Oryctolagus cuniculus: one gene and its partners. The protein of the gene in region 3 binds, or shares a complex with, the protein of the main gene of each other region. Links are inferred from orthologs where the notes say so. Each region holds a gene or a part of one and is shown on either strand. Other genes may lie near its edges.

Region 1 (8,274 bases), on a different chromosome or scaffold from region 3:
CTAGTGAGCCGCGGCACCGGCCTACACCGGATTATTTTCCAGCCCTTCCTGTCAGTTTCTGTCTGCCTCTCAGTGGGAAAACCCCCTTCTGGACCCTTCCTAGCTCCTCTAATAAGGACTCTGTCCTCAGTTTTAGACCCTGTGCATTTAACCTGCTTGTGAGATTTGTTTGCTCCAGGCAATAAAATTCTAGATGGTCATGCACATGAAAGCTCCAATGGAGACAGTTTCTGCGAGCTAGTGCCGCAGCCCCCTTACGCGGCCACCTTCTGCTGGAAGCCTGAGGTCCCTACTCCGCCCATGCTCAGCTGGAAGAACTCAGCTTCAGTCCTTGCCCAAGCCCCTGAAGGCAGCCAGGGTTTCCACAAGCAGAGGGAGGAAACCAGGGAGCCCAGGACTAGAAGCAGGCCAGACGAACTCCATCCCACAGCTCCTTGCCAGCACGTACACACGAAACAAACCAGGAGCGTCCTTTCTCTTTGGCAGCCAGGCATACGGACAGGACTCTCGCTTTCCTGTTTTCCCCTTTGTCCTCATGTTGGTCATCTTTCCACCACGGGCTATGTTTCTAATTTCTCCTTTTATCCTCATAATCATAGTGCTCCCACCCCTACCATGTATAATTAACATATTTCAAAAGGCCGTACAGGAGCGAATGACTGCTAGACCCCAAGTCATCACACAGGAACAACACAAGACTGCTCTTCTTCAATCAACCCGATCCAGAGTGTGGATACCCCGTCCTGCAACAACGCTCCGGATCAGCAGGAAGTAGCCAGAAAGAAACCAGCGCCCCCTCTCCTTATCTGTACTCAGAGTCAGGTCTGATGGAACAAGGACGAAGCCTCAGCCACGTTAGGTTCTCGTTACCCTTCCCTTCTTTCAAGAGACCACTTCAGTCTCACATCCTGTATTGCTCCCCACCCCATCCATCCCCTGCAAAGAACCAGTATGGAGCCGCTCACCCCCCCACTGCCCCCCCACCCTACCCCAGCCCACCTAAGATATAAAAAGCCCAGCCTTGGCCGGTGCCACAGCTCAATAGGCTAACCCTCCACCTGAGGCGCCGGCACACCGGGTTCTAGTCCTGGTTGGAGCACCGGATTCTGTCCAGCTCTCTGCTGTGGCCTGGGCGTGCAGTGGAGGATGGCCCAAGTCCTTGGGCCCTGCACCCGCATGGGAGACCAAGAGAAGCACCTGGCTCCTGGCTTCGGATAAGCATGGTGCGCCGGCCGCAGGGCACTGGCTGCAGCGGCCACTGGTGGGTGAACCAACGGAAAAAGGAAAACCTTCCTCTCTGTCTCTCTTTCTCACTGTACACTCTGCCTGTCCAAAAAAAAAAAAAAAAAAAAAAAAAAAAAAGCCCAGCCTGCTGTGGTCTGGGCCCTCTGCCACTTGTTCAGTCTGTGTGTACACTGGCAGTTGGTTGACCTCTGCGGATTTATTTTCTTTGAATAAATTCGGTCTAGTTGCGAGTTGGTACTCTGTCTCCTCTGTTCTGTACCCCTTTTTCTTACACGTGATGCCTTGTGTGAGGAGGCACCCATCTGCACCCTGTTTTCTTTTAATAACTTTTTTCAATTTTTGTTTTCTATTTATGTATTTGACAGGTAGAGTTATAGACAGTGAGAGAGAGAGAGAGACAGAGAGAAAGGTCTTCCTTCTGTTGGTTCACTCCCCAAATGGCCGCTACAGCCAGCGCTGCGCTGATCTGAAGCCAGGAGCCAGGTGCTTCTTCCCGGTCTCCCATGCAGGTGCAGGGGCCCAAGCACTTGGGCCATCCTCCACGGCCCTCCGGGGCCACAGCAGAAAGCTGGACTGGAAGAGGAGCAACCAGGACTAGAACCCGGGCCCCAACCGGGACAAGAACCCGGCGCCCATATGGGATGCCGGCACCGCAGGTGGAGGATTAACCAAGTGAGCCACGGGGCTGGCCCCACACCCTGTCTTCTTACACCAGCGCTCCCAAACAGGCACACCTCCTGCTGGAACCCTGAATGAACACTCATTCAACAACCCTCCTATTTCCTTCCTTCCTTCCTTCACAGTCTACTCAATTGTCTAAAAGAACTCTGAGTTACGCATACCCCCGCGTGCTCCACAAGTTCTTTCCCCAGACGTCTGGAACCCCCAGGGTGGCGTTTCCGTATATTGGCTAAGGCAGTGGCATGAAAATAATTAGCAATTTATTGAACATTTACACTTTGTCAAGCATTGGTCTACATTTCTCAACAGCAGCCCTATGAAAGGTACCGTCATCGGCCCCACTCACAGATGAGGAAAACAAGGAATAGAAAGGTTAAACAGTCTCTTCAAGGTTACAGCAGCCAGTTAGTGGCCAAATATTCCACACAACCTGGGGCTACAGACACATGGCTCTTAATCACTTATTCTTGACTGCAGAGCTGCCTACTGAAAATATGGCCAACAGTATATGGAACTTACTTTTTTAAATATTTATCTATTTATTTGAAAGTCAGAGTCACAGAAAGGCAAAGGCAGAGGGAGAGGGAAGGAAGGAGGGAGTGAGAGAGAAAGGTGTCTTCCATCCCTTGGTCCATTCCCCAAATGGCCCAACGGCCACGGTTGGCCAGGCCAAAGGCAGGAGGCAGGAGCTTCATCTGGGTCTCCCTGGGTCTCCCATGTGGGTATAGGCAGCTGGATAAGAAGTGGAGCAGCCAGGTCTCAAACTGGCGCCCTTATGGGATGCTGGACCTGCAGGCAGCAGCTTAACCTGCTACACCACAGCGCCGGCCCCGTGAAGTGGAACAACTGGGACTTGAACTGGTGCCCATAAGGGATGCCACAGCACTGCAGGCGGCAGCTTTACGCACTCTGCCAGAGCCAGCCCCTTAGAATTTTCTAGTGGCCACATTGAAAAGTCAGGTTAAAACACTGCCTGCCATGATGGCATCCCATACCACAGCACTCATTCCACTTCTGATCCAGCTCCCGGCTCATGCGCCTGGGAAGGCAGCAGAAGATGCCCAAGTACCTGGGTCCCTGCCGCCCCTGTAGCAGGATGGAGTTCCTGGCTTCTGGCTTCAGCCTGGCCCAGATGTAGCTTGTTGCTGCCATTTGGGGAGTGAACCAGCAGACAGAGATCTCTATCTCCCTCTCCCTCTCCCATTTTCATTCTGTTGCTCAGTCTTTCAAGTAAAAAATAAATACATCTTTTAGAAAGTCAACAGAAACAAGTAAAATTGGTTTTAAATGTATTTTATTTCACCCATTATCCAAAATAGGATCACTTAATCAATATGATCGATAATCAGTGTGGTTGCTAGACTCAGCGTGATCACAAAATCCTATAAAAACACTCCTTTTTTCTCGCTGAGTCTTCGGAACCCAGTGTGATCTCATACTCACAGTACCCCTCAGCTCTGACTGGCCACACGTCAGGGGTCGGGAGGGCGTGCGGCTACCGACCCCGGACGGGCAGGGCGGTTCTGCGGCCTCCCACGCGGAGCCTCTCAGGCAATCAGAGAAGCGATGAATCCCGAGGTTGAAGTCAGGATACCTGCGCTCCGACCCCGGCTCTCACCTGCTCAGGGACCTCGGCCCGGCCTCCCGTTTTCCCACAAGTACCCCAACAAGGGAGCCTTCCTGCTTCCCAGGGGCCCAGCCCAAGCTGGAATTACGAGCATCTCCCAGCAAGGGCGGCCAACTCGGGCACAGCTTTGCACGCTCAGCAGCTGACACAGACCTCAAACAACTCTACTAAGTAGCTGAAACCGTCTCCACTATGCAGATAAGAAAACTGAGGCTAGCGGCACAAACTCAACGACTCGGCGGTGGCGGCCGCTGGGAGAGGACGATGGGAACCAGACCTCTGGATGGGGTGCGAGTAGGCAAAGGGGCTCAGGCCCGGAGCAGGCATAGGAAGGGACTAGCGAAGTTTGCAGGAGTGAAGTGAGATGAGGTCAGAAGCGAGGGGGCCCGGAAGGAGATGAGACGAGGTGAGACCAAGGCACTCTGGCCCTGCGATCTCCGACCCGGTGAGGAGCAGTCTCCCGGTCTCCCCAGTCCCTCATACCTGGTAGCTCAGAAGTTCGCCCACGTCCATAGTTCCCCGTCCAGGCAACAGCCGATCCGCTCGTTCCCTCCACTCAAACCCACACCGCGGGCCGCTCGGCAGCGCTTCCAGCCACACTGCCGAAAAGCGCCCTGTGCCAGGCCCCGCAGAGCCAATAGGGTAAAAGTGCGTGCGGCAGGCGAGCAGCCACACTGCGGAAAAAGGCAGCGCTACCGTAAAGCGCGCCGCAGTGGTGACCGTACGGCTTCCGCCTGGAGCCTGAAAGGGGCGGGGAAGGGGGCGGAGACTTGGAGGAGGGAGGCGTGGGGAGAGAAGGGGCGGCGGGAGCCGGGATTTAATGCGCTCCCTCTCTGTGTAGGGCGGGGTGGTGTGGCCTCACGTGTGCTCTCACAAGCCCTGCGGTGGTCCAGGCGATTTCATCCAGGTAAGGAAACTGAGGCTCAGAACGGCATAGGCCAGCACCATGTTCCACGCAGCCACAGAGTAGCTATCGCGCGCTTGAAATCCAGCCAGAATGCACACGGGGTTTCCAAGACTTAGACTGATGACACGTCGAAATGTTCGGGCCAAATAAAATAGATGAGAAAATTAATCTCTCTCGTATCTTTTGACTCCTTCAACGTGGCTGCAAGATTTTTACATCTGTGGGTCTCATGTGTATTTCCGATGGGCAGGGCTAGCTCCAAAGGTGAGGGGCCAGGGCCTACAGCCAGGACTGCCACCGCACCTGGGGGTGGTCGTGGATTCCTCCCAAGCTTCTGATCATCCAGGCAAGGCCGCTGGGAGCTGATCCAAGTGGTGCAGACGGGTTTTCTGGAGGAGAAACTGCCCGTCACTGGAAGACAATCAAAGAGTGCATCTCATCTTCTGAGACTCTGTCTTCCAGACTCCACCCAGGGAATTAAACCTCCCCATAAGCCCCTGCCCTTCACATTCATATCTATAATCCCATCCCACTGTCTCAAGCTGCACAGAAATTCATTTCATTCTTCAAATCCTCTCTTCTGCCTGGCTGGTAGCGCCACGCCTCATCCAACTCACTGGTCCATCTGATACCAAGTGTCGCCTTCTGAGAGTGGGCTTCCTCAACTCACCACACTCCAAGTGGCAGCGGCTCCCCGGTCCCTATCCTCCCTGGGGCCTGTTCCACGGTCTGTGTCTCAGTCTGTAATTTTGTACTCAACGTTTGGCTGCTTGGTTCTTGTCCGTCAGCCTCTGTGTCCTGGAGCGAAGGCTGTTTGAGAGAAGGATCGTGGGGGTTGTGTGTCTCCAAAGCCCAGGCCAGGGCCTTGTGCGCCTTGGGAGACACTGGATTGTGTGCTCACAGGCATGGGAAGGCAGTTCTGTGATTGGTTTGTTTTTTAAGGCTCGTCTGTACACTCTGCTTTGAACCGAGTTTGCTTCGGGTGACCTTTCTCCTCACTGAGGCAGAACAGACCTGGACACGAGCAGCCCTGTGTTCTAATGTATGATATGCAGGGCCAGCTGGTGTAAGAAGGCTCACACAATACGGCTCTATTTTCAGGACGTTTGGGAGTGTTTCCACACTGTGAACCAGTGACTGCTACACATCGGGGTGGTCACGGTTTGCTGTTGTTTTTACAAAGTCTGTTGTTAAACATCTCCCAGCACCCCCCTAACTGGAGCTAGCCCGAGTTCTACCACGACAGCTAGTGTATGCCCTTGGGCAAGTTTCTCTGTCTCTCTAAATTGCAGCTTCTCACCTGGAAAGTGAATCATTCATTCATTCCCTAAGTATTTTTTTTTTTATTTGACAGATAGAGTTAGTGAGAGAGTCAGAGAGAAAGGGCTTCCTTCCGTTGGTTCACCCCCCAAATGGCCGCCACAGCCGGCACTACGCCAATCCGAAGCCAGGAGCCAGGTGCTTCTTCCTGGTCTCCGATGTGGGTGCAGGTACCCAAGTACTTGGGCCTTCCTCCACTGCCTTCCCGGGCCGCAGCAGAGAGCTGGACTGGAAGAGGACCCACTGGGACTAGAACCCGGCGCCCATATGGGATGCAGGTGCCGCAGGCAGAGGATTAACCAAGTGAGCCACGGCGCCGGACCCTCCCTAAGTATTTAAGTGGGAGAGCTACTCAAGGCCAGATGCAGAGCTGGGCTCTGAGGATTGAGCAGTTTATAAAATGAAGCTCCTGCCCTCCTGGAATGCATTGCCGCTGGAGACGGGGGCAAGCAGCTTCCCCTCTACCTGGCTGATGGCCTCGGCTGCCGCAGGCGGCGATTCAGCTGAATCTCTCGGAAGGGGAGGAGGCTTCCTTGAGATGCTACATGCAAAGCACCTAGCATGATGCCTGGCACACGAAAGAACTCAATCAAGTTTGATGTGACTATTAGTGCGATGGGGCAGGAGAGCAGGTGGGAGGGGCAGGAGCACTCCTTACCCTCTTTCCTTTCCAGGCATTTCATCTTGACTATGCCTTTTTATTTATTCTTTAACACATTTGTTTATTTGAAAGGCAGCATGACAAAAAGAAAGTGAGAATGGGAGAGTTCTTCCATCTGTTGGTTCATCCCCAAAATGGCCTCAACATCCGTGACTGGGCCAGGCCAAAGCCAGGAGATAGAACTCCATCCAGACTCCCAAAGGGGTAGCAGGGACTTGAGTACTTGGGTATCTTCTGCTGCTTTCCAAGTGTATTAGCTGGACACTGGATCGGAAGCCAAGTAGCCAGGCCTTGGCATCTGAAGTGACTACTTAACCCACTGTACCACGGCGTCAATGCCTATGCTTTTTTTATTTTATTATTTATTTATTTTTTAGAAACTAGGCCTTAAGAGAGAGAATTGTAAGGCAAAATGGTCTGAGAACCAAGTTCAGTGAGCACCCTGGAATGAGAATGACCCGGTTTGCCAGGGAAGGTTGCCCAGGGGAGGAGCCGCTGGGCCAGGGTATGAAGGAGGGGAAGAGTGTGTCCAGAGGGCAGGGTTGGGAGGATGGTGACCCAGTGGGGGAACAGCATGAGCGAAGACGTGGGAGAGGAGGGGCGTTTCCTGTGGATGGGCTCTGGGGTGTGTGGAGGACATGGTGGGAAGTGGGCCAGAGAGGGCGGCTGGGGTAGCACATTCAGGACACCCAGCTAAACCTGCAGTTCAGGTCAGCAATGGATTTTTAGCATAAATATATCCCCTATGTTTTCTTAAAAAAGATTTAATTGAAAGTCAGAATTACAGAGAGAGCAGGAACGAGAGAGAGAGATCTTCCATCTGCAAGTTTACTCCCCAGATGGTCATAAAGGCCAAGGCTGAGCCAGGCCAAATCCAGAAGCCTGGAGCTTCATTTGGGTCTCCCACATGGGTGGCAGGGGCCCAAACACTTGGGCCATCCTCTACTGCTTTTCCAAGGTGCATTAGCAGGGAGCTGGATCAGAAGTGGAGCAGCTAGGACATGAACCAGTGCCCATATGGGATGATGGTGTAGCAGGCAGCGGCTTTACCTGCTATGCCACAATGCCGATCCCTATCCCATGTAATATTAATATTAATAATATACTAGAGGGGCCAGCGCTGTGGTGCAGCGGGTTAATGCCCCGTCCTGAAACGCAGCATCCTATATGGGCGCCGGTTCGAGACCCGGCTCCACTTCTGATCCAGCTCTCTGCTATGGCCTGAGAAAGCAGTAGAAGATGGCCCAAGTCCTTGGGCCCCTGCACCCACGTGGGAGACCTGGAAGAAGCTCCTGGCTCCTGGCTCCTGGCTTCGGATCGGCAGAGCTCCGGCCATTACAGCCAATTGGGGAGTGAACCAGTGGATGGAAGATCTCTCTTTCTCTCTCTGCCTCTCCTCTCTCTGTGTAACTCTGACTTAAAAAAAATAATAATAAATCTTTTAAAAAAATAACATGCTAGAAACTTTTTATTGATTCTCTGAAATTTAGATTTAAAGGGGCATCAGGTTTTTTACCTGACACCCTAATCATGGAGGCCCTTGAATGCCGTATTTCAGTATTATCTTGATGAGAGGATCCATTAATAATCCCTGGGGAACCCCCCAGGGTAAGGCTTGGGGCACTCACCCTTCAGCTGTCACACATCATGGCCACAGATGTTCTATCAGCATTCCTGAGCTTTATCTTCAGAACACTGATGACTTCTATTTCTGCATTTATCTCTTCTTATTCATCTGGAGTCTGCTTTATCTTCCAGATTCTGACCCCCAAAGTCTATAGAAATATATTGCTCACCAGGTTAACCTAAGAGCCTAACACACTGTCACTTAAT
Region 2 (8,449 bases), on a different chromosome or scaffold from region 3:
GTGCTCCATATAGAACAAAAATTACATGAAAGGAGAAACAAGACATAAGAAAGTAGATACAGCATTTCAAAAACCTGGCTACCTGAAAGAGAGATGAATAATTTGAAAATTCAAGAGAATGCCTAAAGGATAAAAGTTCTTCAATTTTATCTACAAATACAACTTGTTCCCATGATGTATGAAACAGCTGAATGTTCTTTGGATTTAGATATCTTTGAGTCAGATCACACGTCCTGGGCTCAGTCAGGTATACAGTCCTTGATACAGACTGTTAAAAAAACTAAGAGGACAAGGCTATGTGCACACTCCCCTATATTCCACACAAGCAGCCAGTACTGAAGTCAAAAAGGATTTCTGTGTCTGTGGTATGTATTGAGCTGTACTATCAATATTTATGAAATACTTGCTGATAACAGAGTGCTAGGATACAGAAAACTCCACAAATACAGTCATTATGTGACGAGACCTGAAATACCTGCAGAAAGTAGCTACCATTTTCCCCCATTTTAAAACAAGACTCTTGGGAAAATTACATCAAAAAAGAAAAAAAAATCTTCAAGTCATGTTCAAGTTATTCTGACTCACTGAGAAAAGATCTAACATCTACAAATAAGCACATGGGCCTACCCACCTTAGAGCTCAGGAAACTAATTAGAAAACACACACTGAGTCTTCCTTATCATACAGCAGTAAAAGTTTTTTAAATTACCTAGCAGAGTTTACACAGAGTGTTAAATAATGTTAAATAAGGACTTTGTTAAGTAAGAAGCAAGTGTTACACTGCAATGACTATTCCAGAAAATCGGCCATGTTCAAACCTACAGTTACCATGGATGCCTATCATGAAATTACTAACAAATCCATTAAGTGTCTCTCAGAAATGCAAGAATAAATGAAAATAAACTGCCACGTTTTAGAAGATAAGGATTGGGTGGCACCGTGGCTCACTTAGTTAATCCTCTGCCTGCAGCGCCAGCATCCTATATAGGTGCCAGGTTCCAGTCCTGGTTCTCCTCTTCTAGTCCAGCTCTCTGCTGTGGCCGGGAAGGCAGTGGAGGATGGCCCAAGTGCCTGGGTCCCTGCACCCACATGGGAGACCAGGAGGAAGCACCTGGCTCCTGGCTTCAGACTGGCACAGCGCCCACCGTAGCTGCCATTTGGGGGGTGAACCAATGGAAGGAAGACCTTTCTCTCTGTCTCTCTCACTGTCTATAACTCTACCTGTCAAATAAATAAATAAATAAATAAAAAGAAGATAAGGATTAAAGATAGCCTGCTACATGTATGTATCTTCAATAGTGGCATACAATGACTACAAGCTCACAATGCTAGCTTCCCCAATCAGTTATAAATCCACAGTTAATGCATGGCAAGGATCTATCAAACATTGTGGGCAGCCTTCCAGCATGTAATAGGTTACTGATTCGAAAAAAAATCAGGATCTCTTTACTCACTGTAAATAACTCACAGAGAACTCAACTAATATATTCTTCCATTAAGAGAAACACCGGCTCCATGCCCAAACTAGTTAAGAAGAAGCAAGCAGGTGCAGGCAAGCAGGGGCAGGTGCTGTGGCGCAGCGGGTTAAAGCCACCACCTGCAACGCCAGCATTCCGTATGGGCACTGATTCCAGTCCCAGCTGCTCCACTTCCAATCCAGCTCACTGCTAATGCACCTGGGAAAGAAGCAGGGGATGGGCCACGTGCTTGGGTCCCTGTCACCAACATGGGAGACCCAGTTGAAGCGCCTGGCTCCTGGCCCAGTCCTGGCCATTGCAGCCATTTGGAGAGTGAACTAGCAGATAGAAGAGCTCTCTCTCTCTTTCTGTAACTCTAACTTTCAGATAAATAAATAAATCTTTAAAAAAATAAAATAAAAAGCTTTGGGGTAGTGCTGTCGTGCAGCATGTAAAGCTGCTACCTGTGACACCAGCATCCCATACAGGCGCTGGTTCGAGTCCCAGCTGCTCTACTTCTGGTCCGGCTCCCTGCTAATGGCCTGGGAAAAGCAACAGAAGATGATGCAAACATCTGGGCCCCTGCCGCCCATGTGGGAGACCCAGGTGAAACTCCCGGCTTCAGCCTGGCCCAGCACTGGCTGTTGCCACCATCTAGGGGTGAAAGACCTTTCTCTCTGCCTCTCCTCTCTGGAACTGTGGCTTTCAAATACATAAAGATATCTTCTAAAAAAAATAAACATTACCTTATGTGATGATGAACTTCTCTTGGAGGATACATTTGGTTTCACTACTAAATATAACACTAGATTGACAGCAGTTACAGAAACAGAGCAGATGCCCAACCACGTCAGGTGGGTCTCCAATATCGAGAAACTTTCCAAAAAGAATGATGGAACAAAGGTGCTCAGGATAACAGAAAGCACGCATAAAAGATGGGCATAAAATAGTCTCCTGATATCAGTATTTTTCATGGTGCTTCCTTGGGTGACTATATAATGAAAAACAAGAAAAGAAAAATTACATGTCATGACTTCTTCCCATTTTCAACATTTCAATCTCTAAAAATCAGCCATACACAAAGTCAGTTTTCTGGGGGCACTGTATTGGTTCAAAACACAAGAAGATATATACATGTAAATGTACATGTAAGCTTAACATTTTAATTTTTTTAATACGGTACAAACATTTCAGAGACTAAAAGGGACCCTTTTACTCATTTCTTAAATATGTGTGGCTGGTTTCTGCCAAGAGCCACATACTAGGACCAGGTAAGCCACCCATTTTGAAATCAAAGGTGAAATCCACTGCATGGATTAAATGATCTGCCTCTGTTGGAAATGCAACCTATGCTTTCTAGAAACCTCACGAATACACTTTGGCTAAAATGTTGGTGTCCCTCCTCATCTAACATCGCGTTTCACATCTAGTAAATGCCAAGGACACACTGGAATATTCAAGTGGCAGCCTAGGCAACCAAAGAACTCAAAGAGCATTACCCTAAACTAAGGGATCCCTAGACTCTAGCATTTCCAAAATGACTAGGTCTGTTACAGGTGCTAGATTCCAATCAAGAATAAAACATGAATGGAGGCAGAAAAAATTTTACTGTCTCATGTATTTAGTTACCTGAGAGCTTATGCATTGTATTGGCAGTGTGGAGTACAGACTTTATTAAATAGTCAACGTGTTACACTGTGAATATTCCACCAAACAGAAACAGCCCTAAAAAATACATAAAAGCATATGTGGGTGGGGAGAGGATGGAGCTCACTGGCGAATAGCTCTTATTTGATTCCCGCGGTCATTTATCAAAGGCAAGTAGTTTACTGATTAAACAAGAAAAACAAGTCAGGAGACTTGTTCCAAGCTCCCCAGCGCTACAGACATAAAGGGACACACGAGGGATCCGGTAGAGAACGGGCGACAAGCAGGGACAAAGTTTCTCAGACTCTCAGCTGCCTGCGGGTCGGGTAGGGGGAACAGAAATCCATTCTCTCAACAGATCCCCCTTACTTTCTCTGGGCCACCCTCGGAATCCCAGCAGCAGAAGCCACACTCCAGCGCCTGCTCAAAGAACGAAGGAACCCGGGCAGGTGAAGCGCCTGCCCTTCTCGGCGGGCCCACGAGGACACCTGCCGGGCGCGCCTTCGCGGGGCCACCGCCACGGCGCCGGCGATCTCGGCCCGCCCACGCCGGCCAGCAGGGCGCCGGCGAGCCCTCCCGGGGCAGCCGCCGCCCGGGTCGCGGACTTCATCCGCAGCCCCACCCCACACCGGGTCACTGGGGCTCGGCCCGTCAGCCGGCGAAAGCTGAGGGACGCGGGCAGGAACGCGCCTGAGAAAGAGGAGCGGTCCAGCAGGGGAGCCCCTGGGTCACGCGGAAGGAGGCCCTCCGAGGGCCGGCGGGGGCGCGCAAGCTCGCGACCACTCGGGCAGTTGGCGGAGGCGCCTTCCACACCTCCCAGAGGAGAACGCAGCCAACGGGGCTTACCTAACTCTCCCGCCCGCGAAGGGAAAGGGAACTACTGCCTCCCACCATCAAGGCACAACGGGCTGCCCCAGCCCACGCGCAGGCGCAAGCGCGCGGGGCGGAGACCCACGGTCGCACAGCCAATCGCAGAAGGGGATGGGCGGACAAACGAGGCAGCCCCGCCTACCCGCTGGCGTTCATGCCTCCCGCGGCTTTCCAGGCGTAGGATTGGCGGGAGCGGAGGATTAGGGGCCGGAAGTAGATTGACGTAGCCCGGAAGGAAAATTCTTCCCAGGCTGTAGTGTTGATGTTTTCAAGCTGCGGCTGATTCTGGGGCGAGGAGGGCGAATCGTCGGCGGAAAGATGGTGTGCGAAAAATGTGAGTTAAGGGGCCGCTTGTGTGGGGAGAGGAGGCTGGGAGAACTTACTCGGACTCTCCTGGGAACTTGGTTTTTCCTTTTCCCACAGGTCTCTAAGTCTAGCCTGTGTTCTCCCACCCTTGCCCTGTGACCCTTCCTGCCCCTCATCGACTGTGTAATCCCGTATATTTTGTCATCAGAATGGCCTTAGTTCTGCACCTTTTTGCCCATTGCCGTCGCCGCCTTCTGGCTCTCGCCTCATCAGTTACGGCTTCTCGACCGCCTCCGTCAGGCTTAAAATGGACCTTAAAAGTCATTTCTGTAGCGTGTGGAGTTGCGAGATCTAGCAATTCCAGACCTCCAATTGAATTTTAATTTAAGATAAACAACGAATACTTTTTTTTAGTGCTGTAAGTATGCCCCATTCGGTTATTTAGGACGTGCCTTACTAAATTGGCTTCGTTGCTTATTCTGAATGCATCCCATCCTATGAAAGAAACAGTATCTGGGTGGGGGAGGCTGGAGACCCCCACGACCTACGAAGAAGTCTCTGCAAGGAGGCATTGCTGGCTTGAGGAAAGTATTTTCCTCTGTGGTTGCCACCCAGTGTTTTTAATTCAAACTCTTAAGATTTGTAGAAAATACACCCTGTGGACCTACCAAGCTGTTTATGTGTTTAAAAGCAGCTGTCAAGTTCCCAAATCCTCTCCCTCTGGCTCTTCTGTGACAAGAGTTCCACTCCTCTTAATCCTGATTATGGTCTAATGAACATGACCTGTGGGCATCCCCGTGGTAGATGGATACAGTCTGGACACACAGACCCATGGCAAAGCTGCGTGGTGTTCCCAGATTTCCCATCTGAAAATGAGAACGCAACATAAGCCTTGGGTTTTTTTGAGAATTACATGAAATGACATAGGTAATGCCTGGTACAAAGGTCCCTAGTGTGTCCTCTGTCATAACTCACTACTGCGTGACACAGAATTAAACTCTGCTCCATATGTGGGCCAGAGTGCAACTAATGCCTCCCTCCTTCTGGATACTACACCACATACCATTGTTGCCTTACATTAAGCTTTAAGAAAATAACCATTAAGACGTAATTCACATGCCATGCAATTCATGCACTTTAAGTGTACAATTCACTGGTTTTCAGTATATTCAGAGTTGTGCAGTGTGATCATAGGCTGACCTGTCCATCCCTTCAGAAAGTGCATGATCTTACTTGACACTGACTGTCTGTAACTCTGCTTCATCTTGTACTTGCAGTGGTTTTTGGACTTGTGTGTGTATTTGAGTAAGTTTGAATTAAATATCTTTATATTATGTGCTGGCCCAAATGTCTCATCTCTTAGGTGTGGTTCTTAAATCTCTAACTTTGGCCTCCCATGTAATTTGTGTTAGTCTGTCACTTGGGATGCTTGTATCCCAGATTAGAGTGTCTGGGTTTTGCATCCTTGGATGTGAGTCCCAGTTCCACTCCCAACCAGTGAATGGGAAACCACCTGCCTCCCCAACCTGCATTTCAAACAAATAAAATAAAATTTTTTTAAAAAAAATCTTGAATCTCAGTTCACTAGCCTCTACCCCAGCATTAACAGGCTCCCACTGTAATATGACTGTTGATGGCATTGGGAGCCTTGGCACCATGTGGTGTATTTATTAACTAGCAAGTTATAATGCCCCTTTTACTATTTTATCACAACAGGTGAAAAGAAACTTGGCACTGTTATCACTCCGGATACATGGAAGGATGGTGCAAGAAATACCACAGGTATTTTTTTTCTTTTGGAAAACAGAAATTGAATTAAATACCACCTGTGAATAATATATTTTTACATTTATTTGTAAAGTGAGATGTTGTATTCTCAGAGTATCTTGTCTATAAAGAATATACGGGGTCCCCCAGTGATTTAATGCCTTCTCTCTAGTTCTCCCAGTTACATGCACAGGTTCCTAACATAGTAAGCAGGAGATAGCAAACCTACTAAATATTTTCAAGTGATGAGTGTGTCATAGTGTAGAGTCCGAATTTAATTTCTCCTCTCCTCACCTAGTTTTTATCTTCTTTATAAAAAAAAAATTACTTAAGCTGTTTTCACCAGGAAGGAAACGAAAGTTGAACTGGACTCAGAGTCTGTGACACCAAAGTAGTAACTTCTAGATTTTATAGTGGATGGAGTAAATGTAGACTCACCCCTAAAGTACTGCTTGCTGTCTGAGTAAGAAAACTGCATCTCACATAAACGTCATTGTTTCCCTAATATTTTCTAAGTAGCATCTCAAAAACTTAGCTATTTCACGAGAATTTAAAAATTTTGATATAGGCTATTCTAATGGTGGGAGGTCAAAGGATGAACTTCTAACTGAATTAGTAGGTGTGATGTTAAGTATGTAGAAATAACTTACTGAAATATTTTGATACAGAAAGTGGTGGAAGAAAGCTGAATGAAAATAAAGCTTTGACTTCAAAAAAAGCAAGGTGGGTAAGAGCCTCTGTGGAGCCGTCGTGTAAGTTCCCACTCCTGAGACTAAGCATGCGGGAGTGAATTTACTGTTCATCATTGCATTGTGCTCAAAGCATGAGAGGTCCTGGCAGAGGGAGCCAGGGATCTGGTGTAACCTGCTGGTTAGCACTGTTCCTTCTCACTGTGTCAGCCTCTGGAGATACCAGTGCCACGGTCTCTATAATTGGACCAGAAGACATGAACTAGCAGATGGGGGATCTGGGTCTCAATCTTTCCCTCTCTGCCCCCACCCCCACTTGTCTCTTTGTCTCTTGAGAAGATAAAATGAAAAATCCAGAGACCCCGCCAAAGCCAGCCCATTTCCTTGCTCCCTTCCCCTTCATGGCAGTGTTTTCAGAAGGCTTGTCCAGACACCGTCCATGTCCTTGAGCCTCATTCTTTCCTTCAGCCACTCCAGTCATTCCTTCATCCCCATCACTCACCTGAAACTCTCTTATCAAGGTGGTGAGTTACCTTTCAGATGGATGGCTGCTCTTCTGTTCTTACCTAACCTCTAGTAACTCTGTTTGGCACCCCTTATCCCCTTGGCCTCTGGGGCTCCTCACTGGCTGTTGCTTTTCATTCAGGTACCTTAGAACTTAACCCTAGACTTCCTTTTTCTTATAAATTTATAAAGTCTCCAAAAGTGACTTTAGTGTATTGGATATAAATCCAGGCTGTATATTCATGACTCCCAAATGTATCTCTAGTTCTGACTGCTCCTCTGAGCTCTAGGTGTATATCTGATGGTCGCTTGAGTTATCCAATTTGATGTCTAACAGGTAACTTCCTTCCGTCTTCGGATAGTAGGTGGCGCTACTGTCCAGTCCAGGTATTCAAGCCTGGAAGCCAGCATTCCTCACCGATTGCTCCCTTTCCCCCACTTCCCATACCTAACTCTAAGTTCTTTGAAGCTACCTCCAAAATATAACCTGAATCTACCTACTTCTATCCGTCTCACTACTATTATGCTGTTCCAAACCAGTTATTTCTTTAAAAAAAAAAAGATTTATTTATTTTGAAAGAGTTACAGAAAGAGGGAATGACAGAAAGATCTTTTATCCACTGGTTCGCTTCCCAGATGACCACAATGGCCAGCACTGGGCCAGGCTGAAGCCAGGAACCAGGGGCTTCATCCATGTCTCCCATGTGGGTGGCAGGTGCCCAAACACTTGAGCCATCCTCTGCTGCTTTCGCAGGCCATAGCAGAGAGCTGGATGGGAAGTGGAGCAGCCGGGACACAAATCAGTGTCTATAGAGGATGCTGGCGTCACAAGCAGGGGCTTTACCTCCTATGCCACAAAGCCAGCGCCCCCCAGATCAGTTATTTTTTACTTAGATACTGTAACAGCATTTCTGTCTCCCTGGCTGTCTGGTTTCCTACACCTCACAGTCTCCAGAGTAGTCCTGTAAAAAGGCCATGTAATTCCTTGGCTTAAAACCCTCTTGTGTGTGTGTGTGTTTTTTCACCCCACTTGGAACAAAGTCTAAACACACTTTCGTGTGCTACCAGGTTCTCCATGCTAAGAGCTGTGACGCCTCCTACTGCTCTGATTCCCTGTTGACCACACTGGCCCTCATTCTTCATTTACTGTCATCCCTCTGAAGAGGTCTGTGCACTCCTTCCTAGAGCTCATCCCTCAGAGCTTACTCA
Region 3 (6,426 bases):
AAGGACTTGGGCCAACTTCTACTTCTTTCCCAGGCCATAAGCGAGCTGGATCAGAAATGGAGCAGCTGGGACTCATATCAATGCCCATGTGGGATGTTGGCACAGTAGGCAGCAGCTTTACCCATTATGACACAGTGCCAGCCCCACGGGTGACATCTTTTAAATATTAAGCTAATCCTCTATTTCACTTAAGTTTCTGTGACTGCCATTTCTAATCCTAGCAACTAACAATGCAAGTGTGGGTCATACCATGCTTTGAGGGGCCACAGAACCTCTTAATTCAGAACCAAACCTTTGTGACAGAACTAAACAAAAGGCTTTGAAATTTTTAGCCAGTTCCTGCTATTAGCAGAGCAAGGTATGAGGAAGAAGGTATGAAGTCCCTAAAATATGCCTGCCAGACACTTGAAGTTTACATTGGTCAATGCCTACAAAACTCCCTCAAGACTACTGTTACTGTTGTTTCTGACTGTGGAGCAAAGCCTGAGGACTAATTAACATCAAGTCAAGCATAGCAGTAGATGGCTTAGCATCAACAGTTACAGGTCTTAGTCTTCTTTCATTAAAGTTTATTTTAACTTCTCTTATGTTTTCCTTCTCCATAAAATGGGGAAAATAATCACGCCTACCTTAGAGGGAGTGGTGTCAATTAGATGAATGCAGCACGGGTGCACTTGGTGGTCATTCAATGTTTGCTGTACTAAAGCCACAGGTAAAGCTGGGCTTCGCACCCAGGCCCACCTGGCTTAAAAGCTCTGGCTCTTTCACACAGCATCAGCATTCGAAGGGTATGACGGACCCCTCAGTCATTCCTATACAAGGTACTTTTGCAAAGAGGACACAGGGCAGTCTAGCTAAGTAGGCTATAAATCTGAAGCCGACACGTTTGTGTGTGTTCTGGGACTGAGACAAGTTCTATGATGTTTTACATTAAAAAACTACTTGGGCCAGTGCTGTGGTTAGTGGAGGAAGCTGCCGCCTACAGTACCAGCATCCCATATAGGAGCCGGTTCAAGTCCAAGCTGCTCCACTTCTGATCCAGCTCTCTATGGCCTGGGAAAGCAGCAGAAGATGATTCAAGTGCTTGGGCCCCTGTACCCAAGTTGGAGACCCAGAGGAAGCTCCTGGCTCCGGATTGGCACAGCTCTAGCTGTTGTGGCCATTTGGGGAATGAACCAGCGGATGAAAGACTTTTCTCTGTGCCTCTCTGTAACTCTGCCTTCCAACAAAAAAAGAAAGAAAACCACATGGATAGGAAGAAAGAAATCATGGAAACTAGCTTTTTTCTGATTCTTCCTGAACCTATCAAGCTCAAATAGGAGAAGTTGCAGCTGAGCTTACAGAAACTTCATTTCCCGGAGTTCTGGCTTTTAGTAGAGCTCGGTTGTGTCCCTCTCACCTCTCACCTGGAAGACATGCCTTCCAGGACAACAAATAAAATCCTATTTCCAACTAGGTTTTCCTTTACTTATTTTTGGATTTGGAATGCCATAGGCTTTTTATCTAATGCACGTCGGTGTGAAAACTCTAATAACTTTCAAGAGAAACATGGCAGCTGAATACCAGGAGAAACAAGTGAGCATCATGTGCATCCTAGAAACGCTTACAGAGCTTCTGTCTCTGATCATGGAGTGCCTGCAGAAGGCTGCACCATTTACTGATGGACAATACTCTTCCATACCAACAGGAGGTCCAACATGGAATTCCTTTAATCTTTCTTCACACTCTTAAAAAATGCACAGATAAAATATTATACATTAATTGATCTTAAATCAATGAGAGAAGTGGGGGGGGGAATTAAACGCACAAAGAAACACAAAGCACATAAGTTTTCTTTTGAAAAGAAAGTATGCAACATTTTATAAGCTGCATAAATTACAACAAAAATTTGGAACACAAATTTAGCTATTTAGATTAAAAATATTTATTACAAGCAAAGTTCCTTTTCTCAATTAAAAAGAAAACATGATTGGAAACACTGATAATGGAGACTGGGTTCAAACTATTCCCATGTCCATTATAAAATAAGGTATGAATAAAGGAAAAGGTATTTTGGGATTTAAAATTAGGGAAGTCTACAAATGATTTAGATGACAGGAAAGTGGGGGTGGATAAAAAGAAAAAACTAACCAAAGCCAAGATGATCCTTAACATTTGAGTCTTTAATTAAGCACATAAAACTGTACTACTTAATATATTTCTCCATAAACTTCTTGTGAAATTCAGATCGCAGTGTATCATTTACAAATCTTTTGTCTTTCTTTTGATCATCTACACCTTTTGCACAGTTCTTGAAGACAACATCATCATCCCACCTAAACAGGGAAAAAACATAGAACACCCTATAACGTTTGTATCAGGAAGGCACCACGCGAACTGCAAAGCTTAGTCTTTATACAGAAATATGCTCGACATGCACATCATTTGATGCAGCAATTATACCCAGAAGATTAACGTAATCCTTAATAATCGTGCTTTATTTTAGCAGGAAAGACAATTCTTACTTAGAGAATGTAAAGTTTGCTGTTTCCCCAGTAAAAGAAACTGAGTTATAAAGCAGAAATATACAGAATATACAGGATAATCCTCATTAATATAGATGTCACTAGATGAGAATAACTGATCAATTTACTATAGTTTAGATTATGACATTTTGAGGATATTATATAATCTTCTTTATTAGTTAATTTAGTAATCATACTATAGCAGTAACATTGTGGGGCAAAAGGAACAGGAACTATCAGGTAGAATAACTAAGGTTCTTATATTGACTCACATCTACATAAACCACAGAAAGATAGCACTTAAAGAGCTCAAGGTAGAACTCTGTTTGCATACTTCTGGGTGGATTTTGTACTGCGTAAGTATTAAAAAAAACACCCGTGGGTGGACTATAAAATAGATGTTAGAGAAAATAAGATAAGATTGCATAACATGACCCAGCATATAAGATATAAGCTCAAACAAATGATACGAGTGTAAAATACAAGCCTATTCAAACGTGGTTGCGTGTGTTGATGTATGTATGCCATGAGAAACGGCACAGAAGAAATAAGAAAAGAATGTGGGCATTTTTGAAATATAGCATTAGTGAAGTCATCATTGATACAATACACAGAAACATAAAAGTGTAAACAGATCAACATGACTAGAATATAAGACATGTTTCCATCTACAAACAATTCCATCTGCATCCAAAAAGGAAAAGAAACTGTTTATCCTTACCTTTATATATAATCAGTAAAATCAATATACATTTTTTTCTATGTCCACTCTCTTCCCAACTCTTTGTCCCTCCTCCCCAACATCAAAATTATCATTCCACGCCACTAAATGGTAGCACTCATTTACGTGTCCTGACACCAATATTTGCCCTAAATGATCATGCCTCTCCTCTTGCCACACCAATCTCTTAGTTCTCTGTTTCACTGGCTGTTCCTTCTCTGTCTAGTTTTCTTCCATTCAAAATTCATTTACTGTTTCAGGCAGTGATAGCTAATCATCGACTCAACCTCTGAATACAACACCATGCTCAGTCCTAGGACTCCTCTCTAGCTATACTCATTCTTGAGGTGATCTTTTTTTTTTATTTTATTTTTTTATTTTTTTTTATTTTTGACAGGCAGAGTGGACAGTGAGAGAGAGAGACAGACAGAAAGGTCTTCCTTTGCCGTTGGTTCACCCTCCAATGGCCGCCGCGGCCGGCGCACCACGCTGATCCGATGGCAGGAGCCAGGTGCTTCTCCTGGTCTCCCATGGGGTGCAGGGCCCAAGCACTTGGGCCATCCTCCACTGCACTCCCTGGCCACAGCAGAGAGCTGGCCTGGAAAAGGGGCAACCGGGACAGAATCCGGTGCCCCGACCGGGACTAGAAGGTGGAGGATTAGCCTACTGAGCCGCGGCGCCGGCCTTCTTGAGGTGATCTTACGCAGTGTCAGAACTCCTATAAGCAGACAACTCTGAAATTTATTACCCCAGCTTGGACTGGAATCATATTAAGTTACCTCCTTAACATTTCCTCAGAGATGCACGTATCCTGCCAAACTTACTGTGTCCTAAGTTTGCCACCTCCCCTAACCCCAACCTTAGTCTACATTCTTCACTATCTCTATCCTTTCACAATTGTTTGGGTCAAATAGCTCAGACTCCAGTCTCTGATAAAAATGTCACCTTGTCAGCAAATCCTTCCTTGACTATGCTGCTGCCTCTGCATGGAGGGAGATTTTTACAGCTTTAGAGACCACTGTAAGGACTCAAGTTTTTACTGCAAATGAGTCAAGAAGCCATGGGAGGTTTAGTAGAGGAGACTGTTGCTGTAAACTTCAGTTTAAAAGGATCACGCTTCTGTGTCAAGAAAAATCTGGGAGTGAAGAGGGTGGCGAGTGTGCAGGAGAACAATTAGGGGCACTGCATCACTATGGAAGACGCAGCAATGGAGATGGTGAGAAATAATGGATATAGTTTAAAAGTTAAGCCTCCAGGCCGGCGCCGTGGCTCACTAGGCTAATCCTCCACCTGCCACGCTGGCACACCGGGTTCTAGTCCCGGTCGGGGTGCCGGATTCTGTCCCGGTTGCCCCTCTTCCAGGCCAGCTCTCTGCTATGGCCCGGGAGTGCAGCGGAGGATGGCCCAAGTGTTTGGGCCCTGCACCCACCTGGGAGACCAGGAAAAGCACCTGGCTCCTGCCATCGGATCAGCATGATGCGCTGGCCGCAGTGCGCCGGCTGCGGCGGCCATTGGAGGGTGAACCAATGGCAAAAGGAAGACCTTTCTCTTTGTCTCTCTCTCTCACTGTCCACTCTGCCTGTCAAAAAAAAAAAAAAAAAAAAAAAAAAAGTTAAGCCTCCAAGAGCCTTGATCACTAAGCTTCCTTCACTCAGCACTTCCTATAAAACTTTATTTTTCTGCATATCATCTAAAATACCATAGATAGTACTTTTTGTTTATAGTCTCTTCTCCTTTAACTCTCTACCTCAGCCCTCCAAACACACTGTACACTAAAGAGTTATGATAGCAGGCTGAGAACTGCTCTCCTTAGAAAGGGCTGGCATTTGGAAACCCAGGTTTTAGGAATCTTCTCACCATCACTGTACCTACAATGTATAAATAATGTAGTTTATACTGACCATTTACTTTCCTTTGTGGAGTCTGGATTTTTTTATTAGGTGCAAGGCAGAAGTTGCCCCACATGACAAACTCCAACAAAAATCTTAGAGACTGAATCTCAGCTAGGCTTCCCTGTGCAAAAGCACTGATGTGCTGCTGCATTTCTGTTGTTGAGGGAACAACGTGCTCTGTATGACTTCTCACGGGAGGGACAGAGTCTCAGGAAACAAGCAGATTCCTCCCATTTCTGCCTGTGTCTTTTCCCCTTATGATTCTGTTGTGTATCTTTACTGTATTAGCCACAAATACAACTACAGGTCAAGTCCTCTGAGTGTCTTTGGGAGACCCTTGACACAAAAATGTAAAATGTAAGCTCTGTGGAGTCAAGGGTTTACCTCATTACTCTACCCCTAGTGCCTGGATCATTGTTTGGTACACAGCTGGTTATTCATTCTCCTCTTTCCACGGCTCCAAAATCTGACAGAAGAGCATCAGTGGAAGATGGGGTTTTTAGAAGCTTTATACAATGTAATTTGTTATCCAACTCAAAATCAGTATACCCATCCAATCCATTACTGAATAGTACCTTCTTTTAACTTTGAAGTTGGCCTGAGGCTGGGATGGGCCAGTGAGATTAAGCAGAGGATTTCCACTCAGAATGTTTTCCATTCGGATCCTCTCTTCTTCAGCTTTTTGTTCTTGTTCCTGTTAAGGACAGAGTAAGATTCAAATTATATTAACTCTAGATCAATTTTCTTATATTATCTGATTGAAAACAAAACAAAACCCGTTTGTATTTTTTCAGAACATCACCAAAACAGGTTTTTGCTTTTTTTTTTTTTTTTTTTTTTTTTTTAAGAAATAAGAGAAAAGTCTCATTTATAAAAAATAATTCGTGGCCAGCGCCACGGCTCAACAGGCTAATCCTCCGCCTAACGGCGCCAGCACACTGGGTTCTAGTCCCGATTGGGGCGCCAGATTCTGTCCTGGCTGCCCTTCTTCCAGGCCAGCTCTCTGCTGTGGCCAGGGAGTGCAGTGGAGGATGGCCCAAGTGCTTGGGCCCTGCACCTGCATGGGAGACCAGGAGAAGCACCTGGCTCCTGCCTTTGGATCAGCGCGGTGCGCCAGCCACAGCGCGCCGGCCGCGGCGGTCATTGGATGGTGAACCAACGGCAAAAGGAAGACCTTTCTCTCTCTCTCTCACTGTCCACTCTGTCAAAAAAAAAAAAAAATCGCAATTTTTATTGTAAATATTTCGTACTGGTCATCATAGTCATTAGTAACTCCTAGCTTCAAAATGTTGAGCTGAATATTTAAATC

Evidence for each region. Proteins that work in one complex are often made in the same cells at the same time.
Region 1: CWC15 (region 3) and CTNNBL1 share a complex: the UniProt entries of both Homo sapiens proteins name them as parts of the PRP19-CDC5L splicing complex. The link is inferred for Oryctolagus cuniculus from reciprocal best matches to the Homo sapiens genes CWC15 and CTNNBL1.
Region 2: CWC15 (region 3) and CRIPT share a complex: the UniProt entries of both Homo sapiens proteins name them as parts of the minor spliceosome. The link is inferred for Oryctolagus cuniculus from reciprocal best matches to the Homo sapiens genes CWC15 and CRIPT.

The regions. Positions count from the first base shown.
Region 1 is NC_091442.1:20,959,263-20,967,536, forward strand, and holds the start of CTNNBL1 (beta-catenin-like protein 1), read right to left. Parts: upstream 4,295-8,274; 5' UTR 4,067-4,294; coding exon 4,037-4,066; intron 1-4,036. UniProt on the Homo sapiens protein: Component of the PRP19-CDC5L complex that forms an integral part of the spliceosome and is required for activating pre-mRNA splicing.
Region 2 is NC_091433.1:156,145,365-156,153,813, reverse strand, and holds the start of CRIPT (cysteine-rich PDZ-binding protein), read left to right. Parts: upstream 1-4,155; 5' UTR 4,156-4,292; coding exon 4,293-4,308; intron 4,309-5,996; coding exon 5,997-6,062; intron 6,063-6,715; coding exon 6,716-6,770; intron 6,771-8,449. Other genes in the region: PIGF (phosphatidylinositol-glycan biosynthesis class F protein), read right to left, coding at 1-82, 2,204-2,448, 3,087-3,102. UniProt on the Homo sapiens protein: As a component of the minor spliceosome, involved in the splicing of U12-type introns in pre-mRNAs. Involved in the cytoskeletal anchoring of DLG4 in excitatory synapses.
Region 3 is NC_091432.1:86,189,705-86,196,130, forward strand, and holds the end of CWC15 (spliceosome-associated protein CWC15 homolog), read right to left. Parts: intron 5,812-6,426; coding exon 5,693-5,811; intron 2,316-5,692; coding exon 2,186-2,315; 3' UTR 2,142-2,185; downstream 1-2,141. UniProt on the Homo sapiens protein: Involved in pre-mRNA splicing as component of the spliceosome. Component of the PRP19-CDC5L complex that forms an integral part of the spliceosome and is required for activating pre-mRNA splicing.